Saccharomyces cerevisiae S288C: one gene and its partners. The protein of the gene in region 1 binds, or shares a complex with, the protein of each later gene. Each region holds a gene or a part of one and is shown in the gene's direction. Other genes may lie near its edges. The genes, in order: PSF1, SLD5 and PSF2.

Region 1 (2,992 bases):
AGAGTGATAAAAATTTTCTGTTTTATGAAAAGTTTTCATAACTCTATTAAGGGTTGCACTATAAGAACATTTCGCAATAAAGCAACCCTTATCCGGACCCTACATGTTCCGTAAGTCCTGCCTTATTTATCGTAACGGTATTCATCTTACAGGAATTTTTGAATATAGATAACGTTAGTTTTGATAGATTGGAACAAATGGGAAAATAACAATTTAGAAGCGCTTTCCTCAGCGTATCTGAATTATAAAACAACTGCGCATATTGCTAAGAACTGCACTGAAGGCATGAATTGTCTATTCCGTTAGAAATATAATTATTTACGAAAGCATCGCGCAGACGCAATTTTTTTAACATTTTTTTTTTTTCAAGTACTCTGGAAAAGTTTTCATGAAGATCATGAATACGTTACACTACTATTATTATTGAAAATAATATTTCTTTCCTATCAGCAATCGCTTACATATTCATAGTCATTTACTAGGGTATATACCAATAATAATGTCCCGTCCACAAGTTACTGTTCACTCTTTGACTGGTGAAGCTACTGCCAATGCCTTGCCATTGCCAGCTGTCTTCTCCGCTCCTATCCGTCCTGACATTGTCCACACTGTTTTCACCTCTGTGAACAAGAACAAGAGACAAGCTTACGCTGTTTCTGAAAAGGCTGGTCACCAAACCTCCGCTGAATCCTGGGGTACCGGTCGTGCCGTCGCTCGTATTCCAAGAGTTGGTGGTGGTGGTACCGGTAGATCCGGTCAAGGTGCCTTCGGTAACATGTGTCGTGGTGGTCGTATGTTTGCTCCAACTAAGACCTGGAGAAAGTGGAACGTTAAGGTTAACCACAACGAAAAGCGTTACGCCACTGCTTCTGCTATTGCTGCTACTGCTGTTGCTTCTTTGGTCTTGGCCAGAGGTCACAGAGTCGAAAAGATTCCAGAAATCCCATTGGTTGTCTCCACTGACTTGGAATCTATTCAAAAGACCAAGGAAGCTGTTGCTGCTTTGAAGGCTGTTGGTGCTCACTCCGACTTGTTGAAGGTCTTGAAGTCCAAGAAATTGAGAGCCGGTAAGGGTAAGTACAGAAACAGAAGATGGACTCAAAGAAGAGGTCCATTAGTTGTCTACGCTGAAGACAACGGTATCGTCAAGGCCTTGAGAAACGTTCCAGGTGTTGAAACTGCCAACGTTGCTTCTTTGAACTTGTTGCAATTGGCTCCAGGTGCTCACTTGGGTAGATTCGTTATCTGGACCGAAGCTGCTTTCACCAAGTTGGACCAAGTCTGGGGTTCCGAAACCGTTGCCTCCTCCAAGGTCGGTTACACTTTGCCATCCCACATCATCTCCACTTCTGATGTCACCAGAATTATCAACTCTTCTGAAATCCAATCTGCTATCAGACCAGCTGGCCAAGCTACTCAAAAGCGTACTCACGTTTTGAAGAAGAACCCATTGAAGAACAAGCAAGTTTTGTTGAGATTGAACCCTTACGCCAAGGTCTTTGCTGCTGAAAAGCTAGGTTCCAAGAAGGCTGAAAAGACTGGTACCAAGCCAGCTGCTGTTTTCGCCGAAACCTTGAAGCATGACTAGAATTTATAGTATAGATCTTTAACTTTAATTTAAATATCTTTGTTACTAGTCTTTAATCAAACCTTTTTGTTTTCTTTAAAGTCGAAACGTCAGATTTGCTCAAAACCTTCTTGTCGTTACAACGCGAAAATTGTAATTTAAAATAACTAACGAAGAAAGCTGAAAAATAGATGTGAGGGAAAATCGTTTATAAACGGCCATGCTCACAGAGAATCATGTATGGAGATTTAGGTAATAAATTAGTATTAGAAGCTAAAAGAACAAAACAGCTGTACGCAAGAAGTAATCAAGATGTTAATTTACCCATGTATCATGAAGATATAATACGAAATATTCTGAAAGAAGTTTCAAATTTACGTAAAAATACGGAATATCTTAAAGAACAGCAGCAACTAGGAATGCTAGATGATAAGGTGGCTAAATGCCAGTATTTCGTTACCTTGTTATGTATGGAAAGGAACAAGAGATGTCTCTTAGCATACCAAAGGTTGAGAACAGACATACTAGATTCTATGGCTTGGAATAATAATGGTCTGGACTTGATGAGTAGCATTACGTTTAGCCAACAAGACACAAATAACCTTTCTCATCAAGAGCAGGAATATTTGAAAGAATACTGCGATTTAATTACTGATTTAAAAAGTGGTGACTTGGTCGATATTGATTTATCCGGCTCTTTAGTGCCTCCGAGCGATGTATTTATTGATGTTAGAGTGCTCAAAGATGCTGGTGAGATTCAAACTGAATACGGCGTGTTTAACCTTATTAAAGACTCCCAGTTTTTCGTAAGGCAGTCTGATGTAGAGCGTTTGATTCAACAAGGTTATTTGCAGAAGATATGATAAAATGCTTTCAAGCTGGTCTTCATGATATATAATCCTTTATAAAGCAAGATACATACCTCCATTCTAATTTACTCCCTTCTATGTTTACTTCAGCCCTTTTTAATAGATTTCGTAAGTTTTGGTTGAGGAGGCTTTCTGAGCTTTACGCGACTTTATTGATGACGAAGCTTCACTTTATTATAATAATGAAAAACTGCGCAGAGAAACTATCGCAAAACGAAACCATCTTCTTACCCTAAAGCATCCTGTTTCTGAAAAAATGAGAGCATATGGAAAGAGGGGCCCAGTTCTCAGAACTCCTTTTAGATCTAATAAAGGCTTGCCATCTTCTTCCGATGTTGAATTTAGTGATGACGATGTAAACTCCGTGATTCCTGATGTAAGTTCTACCATTTCGAGCAGTATTGCAGACCACCCGATAGAGGGATTATTGGACGAGCCTAGAAAGGCTCAGGACAGCTCGTCGTCATTTGATGGTGCAAATGAGAAGCCCTCTTCACAACTGGACTCAAAAAGGAATGACCAAAACGTCAAAATTATCACTAGCAGTGATACCTCA
Region 2 (3,293 bases), 960 kb from region 1:
ACAACAACGAGGCGACCATCTGCACACCACACTTGACACCGTAGAGTGCGACTATTTTCCCCTCCATTGTTTTTTTCGAGCCAGCGTGCACGTAGTACGGGCCCCCCTAACAACAATGGCGCCCCTATGATAGCTTTCCCTGCTCGCGCGTCCCACAGCCGCACCGTCCAGTCCGTGGAACATGATAATAGAAGCATTAGCCGCCGAGCATCGTCCCAATGAAACTCTAACCCGGTTACCCTCGTAGAGTGGTTTTCTGCAGGTTGGAACCCATTGTTGTCCAAAGAGAGGTACAGCGGCCCAGGTTGGTCCCAGAAAACCTTGTATATACCACCGTCTTCGCCACCGATCCAGACGTACTGCGGGTCCTCACTCGTGTACGCCATGCAAGCTATACCTACCTCATCAAACTTTGCCAACCGCTGCAATCGCTCCGTATATGTGCAAGTATCATTCTCCAAAGATAAAAGCTGTGATAGCGGTACAGGACGGAGCTGCTGTGGCTTCCGCAAAACAGTCAAGTCCAGGCAGCTCAACTCCATAATATTGCCATTATCAGCTGCCACAAGTACTCTCTCTTGATCTTGCACGCTGCTTGTTTCAATTACAGCCACCACTGGGTGCTGAAAGTAGTGTCTTGCCACCATATTTCGCTGCACGACATACACTACCGGTGTTTCTGGCTTTTTCTGTTTCAATCTAAGCTCGTACAATATGATCTTGCCCGTCAAGGTCGCCAACAAGATTGATATTACATTGCTTTCCGGATGATACCGACGGAGGATCGTGGCTGTCATGATCCGCGTACCACGGAACTCTACCATATCTATCAAGAGGCCGTTGCGTCCGCTGGCATTATCGCACTTGACTACATTCACCACAGACCACGCCGCTTCGCTGCTAGCATACTGTAGGTCTGCCGGCGGCAATCGTAGATAAACCACAACCAAGACGCCTTTTCCTGGGTCATACTCCTGAGCGATACAATCGCAGTCTGTCTCTGATTGTAAATTCTCACTGACCATGTTCCATTGCATGAGGTTGTCTTTATCCTGTTGCATGTTCGATGGCGCCTGCTGGCCTGACGCAGAAACCTCTGTCTCCAGCCGCGCAAAACTAGCGTTGCTCAGCGTTGCCGCCGCCTCTTCAACAAGAAAAGGTTTGGCTAGTTCTAACCTTGGCTGGTCGTTTTCAGCTTTGTCTTTATTATTTTCGTCGGCAGCAGTAGTTTCAATGGCGACAGCATCAGTAGTGGTGTGATTTTCATTTTCTTGCAGTTGTTCTTCCTCAATTTGATCTGTTTGAATGCCTTTGTCGTATGTTATAACCTCCTTACGTCGAAGATATGCAGATTGGGGCTCTTGAATCTTTGAGCCTTCCTCCATGTCGGTCTGCACTGAAACGCTGACCATGGTTGCCTTAGCGTGCACCTCTGTGGGATGGTGGCCCATCGTCTCGCTCCCAGGGAACAAGCTGGCTTGTTTTCGCCTCTCACGCAGCTCTTTCAATTGTCTCCTTTTTTCCTCCAGTTGCTTCAATCGCTCCATCTTAATGTTTCAATCCTTCTTCCTCTTTGGTTGATTAACCAACTGTGATGCTCTTTTTTCCCTTTTCTCTTTGTTTACGGCAAAACACGAAAACTAGTTCATTTCTTTTTCTTTTCGCCTTGGACTAGTACTGAAAATTTCAATAGCATTATATTTGAGCCATAGGTAAGAAAAACCAAATTTGTTAGTATTGGGAAGGAGAATAAGATACCTGACTCGGTGATGGACATTAACATAGACGATATTCTTGCAGAACTGGATAAGGAAACTACTGCTGTCGACTCTACCAAGATCACGCAAGGTTCTTCTTCCACTACCCACAGAGATGCAAATACAATAGTGGGTTCGTCCTTAGACTTGAATGACAAGACTCAGATATATGTCTCTCCCCAGCAGGATTTTTCTGACTTGATGAAGTCTTGGAAAAATGAACGGTGTTCGCCAGAACTCTTACCATATCCTCATCAGTTGATGAAAAGATTATTGAATCGAATATCCATGCAATCTCAATTAATTGAAAACATTTCAATGGGATTCCTCGATATGCAAAATGCTTCTAATGCGAACCCGCCTATGCCTAACGAATCTAAATTGCCTTTACTCTGCATGGAAACTGAGTTAGAAAGATTGAAATTTGTTATTAGAAGCTACATACGATGTAGGCTAAGCAAAATTGACAAATTCTCACTTTATTTGCGCCAATTAAATGAAGATGAAAATTCGCTGATCTCTCTTACAGATTTACTATCCAAAGATGAAATCAAATACCATGACACGCATTCCCTGATCTGGTTGAAACTAGTCAATGATTCTATCCTGAAATACATGCCCGAAGAACTTCAGGCTATTAATGATACAGAAGGTAGCGTAAACATGATAGATGAGCCCGACTGGAACAAATTTGTCTTTATACACGTTAACGGCCCACCAGATGGTAAATGGAACGAAGATCCGCTATTGCAGGAAAACGAGTTCGGTAAACCTTGCTACACGGTCACAATACCCGATTTAAAGGAAGAGGTTGAACTCACTATTGGAAGTATTTACGTTATGAGATATGAAGTCATTAGGGATCTGCTGAGAGACGACAAAGTTGCTCTTATTTGAACTATTATGCATTACACTTTCCCCTTCACCATGTCTTACATATGCATATATATATATTATCAAGCACAGTTTCATTTTTCATCTGTCCGTGTCATGTTTTTCCGCATTTGTGTCGATCTTGCCAGCAATTTTGAGTAATTAGATGACGATCGGGTCTGCAACGAAGTGGGACGTTTTGTGTGAAGTGCGCCTTCTTCGGGTGTCTTTAAGATGCAACGGTCCGGTAAACCATTTATTAGCCTATTCGATTGAGGTACGGGAGGAGCTTGATTCTTTTTTTTTGTATTCTGTCTTTTTTGAAGAATGAACTTATCAAACATTTTATGGTCCGACTTCGGCGATACTACTTTAGGTTTGGCGGTCATTCCATTATGTATTAATTTCCATAGTTTCATTAAAACTGCTCTCTCTTTGCATCCTATGAAAATCGTCCTGGAACCGTCAATTTCAAGGACTTGATCACTTATAAAGCGTATCTTCTCAACGTCATTCAACTCTAGTTCGAATTGCAATTCAAATTCCTGTTCTTCCCACATGCTGAGACTTCTTCTCTTGACAAAAACAAGTGCTCTGCCTAGGTTTGTTATTAGAAACATTTTCTTGTAAAATTTGCCTGCACTATCAGTAGGAGGCTCGATA
Region 3 (2,818 bases), on another chromosome or scaffold:
CTATCACAATAATTGTAGCTATTTTTCCATTAATCCTTTTTATGTAGTCATGCAAATCCAAAGATCTTTTAAAGCTCTGATCGATGATGGATTTAAATTTGTTGATATCTAGTTTTGGACTATTGCTCGAGGGTTTTGCTCCTTTCTCAGGTACGTGAAACTTCTTTGGAAGCCCAATTGAGTTGAATTGAGTCAGCGTCTTATAGTCATAAGTTTTGATATGGACGCCCTTTTTGAGAACAGTTGTCACTAAAACTGCATCTGAGTTAGAAGGAGCTGCATTTACCTGTTGGGAAGGCAATTCATACCATGCGTGATCATCAAACATGTTGGCTGGTGAGTCTATCTCGCCGTCCTTTTTTTTAAACCTTGGTAAAGAAGAAGAAATTAGCGATCGGTCTGTCAATAAATTATATACTAAAGGATTTTTCCTATCTGATGATAGTGCGGCAGCTTTGACAGTTGTAATCAGTCCCGTTGCTGTAGCCGCTAGATTTGATAAAACTTTGTCCATCAATAACAGGTTTTCTAAATGATCATGGTATTCACATTCTAAGGAAGATATCTCATCTTTTTTAACGTACACCTCCATTCTGTGTAACAGGTTTTGGGAGCGTGGCTCTCGTTTGGTTAGAGTGCTTATATTGTGAGATAATGACGAGGACAAATGCTCGAGTTCCTGAGAAAGATTGATGAATACATGAGCGTTATCATTTCTCTCTCCCGAAGGTATACCTCCGGCATTATTTAGAATGAAGAATTTGTCAATGTGTGGAATATTCCCTTGGCACAGGCAATCCATAAATTTTACAACATCCTTTGTCATGAATTCTGAAGCAGTCTCTTCATTATACACATAAGGTTTCACAATTGGTATAAAATTGGAATTTCCAATATCAAAGAAACGACTCTCTTGCGAAAAAACAGAATGATATAACCCAGTGCGGGATTTAGTAAGACCCTCCTTAAGGTGAAGTGGCTTTAAATCTGCTTCTGTAACGATACTGTCAAGTAACTCTGCCTGTATATTTACATGAGTTGGCGACGGCGGAATTACAAACATAGGTCGCAAACCTAGCATTCCTAGTCTCTTTATGACACTTGAAAACTGGGACAAAATCGCTGGTGCGACTTTATGCAGGTCCCTGATAAAAAACAAACAATGATTATGCTGCCCACTATCATTTGTATATTTTGAGAGATAATCCTTAGCCTCTCGTTTTGTAGCGGTTGTATTCAGAACTGAAAGGATCAAGTTTTTTGAAGATGCATTGGGTTGATCATACTTGAGTTCATGCGCGAATATTCTCCTCCACATGATAAAAGTAACCGACTAGTGTCCTAGATTGACGGTCCTAGCTTCAAATGTGTTAACTTTCACAATTTATGTCGAACGTGCTTATGACTCCATGGGAAGATCAGTGATGACTAACCTTTTTTTTCTCCAGCGTGAAATTTCTTGTGATATTTTCCATTTAATGAAAAATCAGTCGCCTAAAGTGTAACTATGAAATGGTTAACAAAAAAGAGTTTTATACTTAGAGAGGATCAACGGCTGATCTGAAATAAGACTAGTTTCATAGACGCATGTCACTACCGGCACATTTGCAGCAGACTTTCTCACCAGAAGAAATACAGTTCATTGTGGAAAACGAGCCAATAAAGATTTTTCCCAGAATAACAACACGCCAAAAAATTCGTGGCGATGATAGAGGAACTGGAAACCACACCCGCTGGCAACTTATTACTACAGATGACAAAGCTTTAAATAATATGGTAGCCATGCGTTCTACAGAAGTGGTTCTTTGGATCGCTCTATTACTGAAGCAACAATCCAAGTGCAGTATTGTAGCACCACAGTGGTTAACGACGAAAGAGCTTGATAGAAAAATACAATATGAGAAAACTCATCCGGATAGGTTTAGTGAGTTGCCGTGGAACTGGCTTGTCTTGGCACGTATACTTTTCAATAAAGCTAAGGATGATTTTCATGACCCCATTCACGAATTACGTGGTAAAATACAAGACTTAAGGGAAATAAGGCAGATCAAAGTGTTAAAAGGCCTTAAGTATTTGAATGAATCTCATTTACAATTGGATAATTTAAGTCTATTAGAAATCAATGAGTTGAGGCCGTTCATTACTGAAATCATGGATAAACTGCGAGAAATTCACACAGCATCTCTTACCGCTGGTACTGAAAATGATGAAGAAGAATTCAATATTTAAAAAAGTGCTGGCTTTGCAATAATTAGAACTTTCAGTGATATGCGTATGTATATATATGTACTTGTTGTGGTATCCTAGTTAATGGGCATAGAATGTATTTCATCAAAGCCCAAAATTCATTTTAAAGCCATTTCCGAATGGGAAGCCACTTCCTGGATTTTTGAACATGTTATTTTGCCTAGGCCCCTGAGGAAAAGTGTTGCGGCGGGGGTTTGATCTGGAAAGATCGTATTCCTTCCTTTTATCGTCATCACTTAATGTTTCGTACGCTTCATTGATTTGTGACATAGTTTCGTGAATTGATTCTTGTTTGTCGTTATGGTTGGCCTTTATTTTGTCTGGGTGGTATTTTTTGGTTAAATTTAAATATGCTTTCCTTATTTCTTTCGAACTAGCACTAGGCGATACTCCAAGAATTTTATAATAGTCCTTTTTTGGGTCGTAGTTAGGCGCTGCTGGGGGTGCTTGATGTCGTTGGTGTTGTTGCTGCTGTTGTTGTTGTTGGAAATATTGCTGGTTGAAATTCCGATGTTTATGCTCTTTATAGGTTTGTAATTGTTTCTGTAATAATCGGAAGTTCTTCATCACG

What was found.
Region 2: the proteins of PSF1 (region 1) and SLD5 are in contact, whole or in part, in a cryo-EM structure (PDB 3JC6), measured with the Saccharomyces cerevisiae proteins. Residues at the interface, in NP_010296.3 of Saccharomyces cerevisiae: Leu41 (codon at 1,924), Ser45 (codon at 1,936), Arg48 (codon at 1,945), Leu76 (codon at 2,029), Met79 (codon at 2,038), Glu80 (codon at 2,041), Lys83 (codon at 2,050), Arg84 (codon at 2,053), Leu86 (codon at 2,059), Leu87 (codon at 2,062), Gln90 (codon at 2,071), Arg91 (codon at 2,074), Thr94 (codon at 2,083), Asp98 (codon at 2,095), Trp102 (codon at 2,107), Asn103 (codon at 2,110), Gln126 (codon at 2,179), Glu127 (codon at 2,182), Glu129 (codon at 2,188), Tyr130 (codon at 2,191), Glu133 (codon at 2,200), Tyr134 (codon at 2,203), Leu137 (codon at 2,212), Ile138 (codon at 2,215), Leu141 (codon at 2,224), Gly144 (codon at 2,233), Asp145 (codon at 2,236), Leu146 (codon at 2,239), Val147 (codon at 2,242), Asp148 (codon at 2,245); in NP_010777.3 of Saccharomyces cerevisiae: Leu88 (codon at 2,031), Ile91 (codon at 2,040), Ser92 (codon at 2,043), Leu127 (codon at 2,148), Glu130 (codon at 2,157), Thr131 (codon at 2,160), Glu134 (codon at 2,169), Arg135 (codon at 2,172), Lys137 (codon at 2,178), Phe138 (codon at 2,181), Ile140 (codon at 2,187), Arg141 (codon at 2,190), Ile144 (codon at 2,199), Arg145 (codon at 2,202), Leu148 (codon at 2,211), Asp152 (codon at 2,223), Lys153 (codon at 2,226), Asp178 (codon at 2,301), Tyr182 (codon at 2,313), Thr185 (codon at 2,322), His186 (codon at 2,325), Ile189 (codon at 2,334), Trp190 (codon at 2,337), Leu193 (codon at 2,346), Val194 (codon at 2,349), Asp196 (codon at 2,355), Ser197 (codon at 2,358), Ile198 (codon at 2,361), Leu199 (codon at 2,364), Tyr201 (codon at 2,370).
Region 3: PSF1 (region 1) and PSF2 share a complex: the UniProt entries of both Saccharomyces cerevisiae proteins name them as parts of the GINS complex.

What each region holds. Positions count from the first base shown.
Region 1 is NC_001136.10:471,354-474,345, forward strand, and holds PSF1 (DNA replication protein PSF1), read left to right. Parts: upstream 1-1,803; coding exon 1,804-2,430; downstream 2,431-2,992. Other genes in the region: 60S ribosomal protein uL4 RPL4B, read left to right, coding at 500-1,588; RAD61 (Rad61p), read left to right, coding at 2,693-2,992. UniProt on the Saccharomyces cerevisiae protein: Required for DNA replication. Functions as part of the GINS complex which plays an essential role in the initiation of DNA replication by binding to DNA replication origins and facilitating the assembly of the DNA replication machinery.
Region 2 is NC_001136.10:1,429,243-1,432,535, forward strand, and holds SLD5 (DNA replication protein SLD5), read left to right. Parts: upstream 1-1,769; coding exon 1,770-2,654; downstream 2,655-3,293. Other genes in the region: PAC11 (dynein intermediate chain), read right to left, coding at 1-1,547; serine/threonine protein kinase PKH1, read right to left, coding at 2,726-3,293. UniProt on the Saccharomyces cerevisiae protein: Required for DNA replication. Functions as part of the GINS complex which plays an essential role in the initiation of DNA replication by binding to DNA replication origins and facilitating the assembly of the DNA replication machinery.
Region 3 is NC_001142.9:304,632-307,449, reverse strand, and holds PSF2 (DNA replication protein PSF2), read left to right. Parts: upstream 1-1,587; coding exon 1,588-2,229; downstream 2,230-2,818. Other genes in the region: ARG2 (acetyl-CoA:L-glutamate N-acetyltransferase), read right to left, coding at 1-1,318; JEM1 (Jem1p), read right to left, coding at 2,332-2,818. UniProt on the Saccharomyces cerevisiae protein: Functions as part of the GINS complex which plays an essential role in the initiation of DNA replication by binding to DNA replication origins and facilitating the assembly of the DNA replication machinery.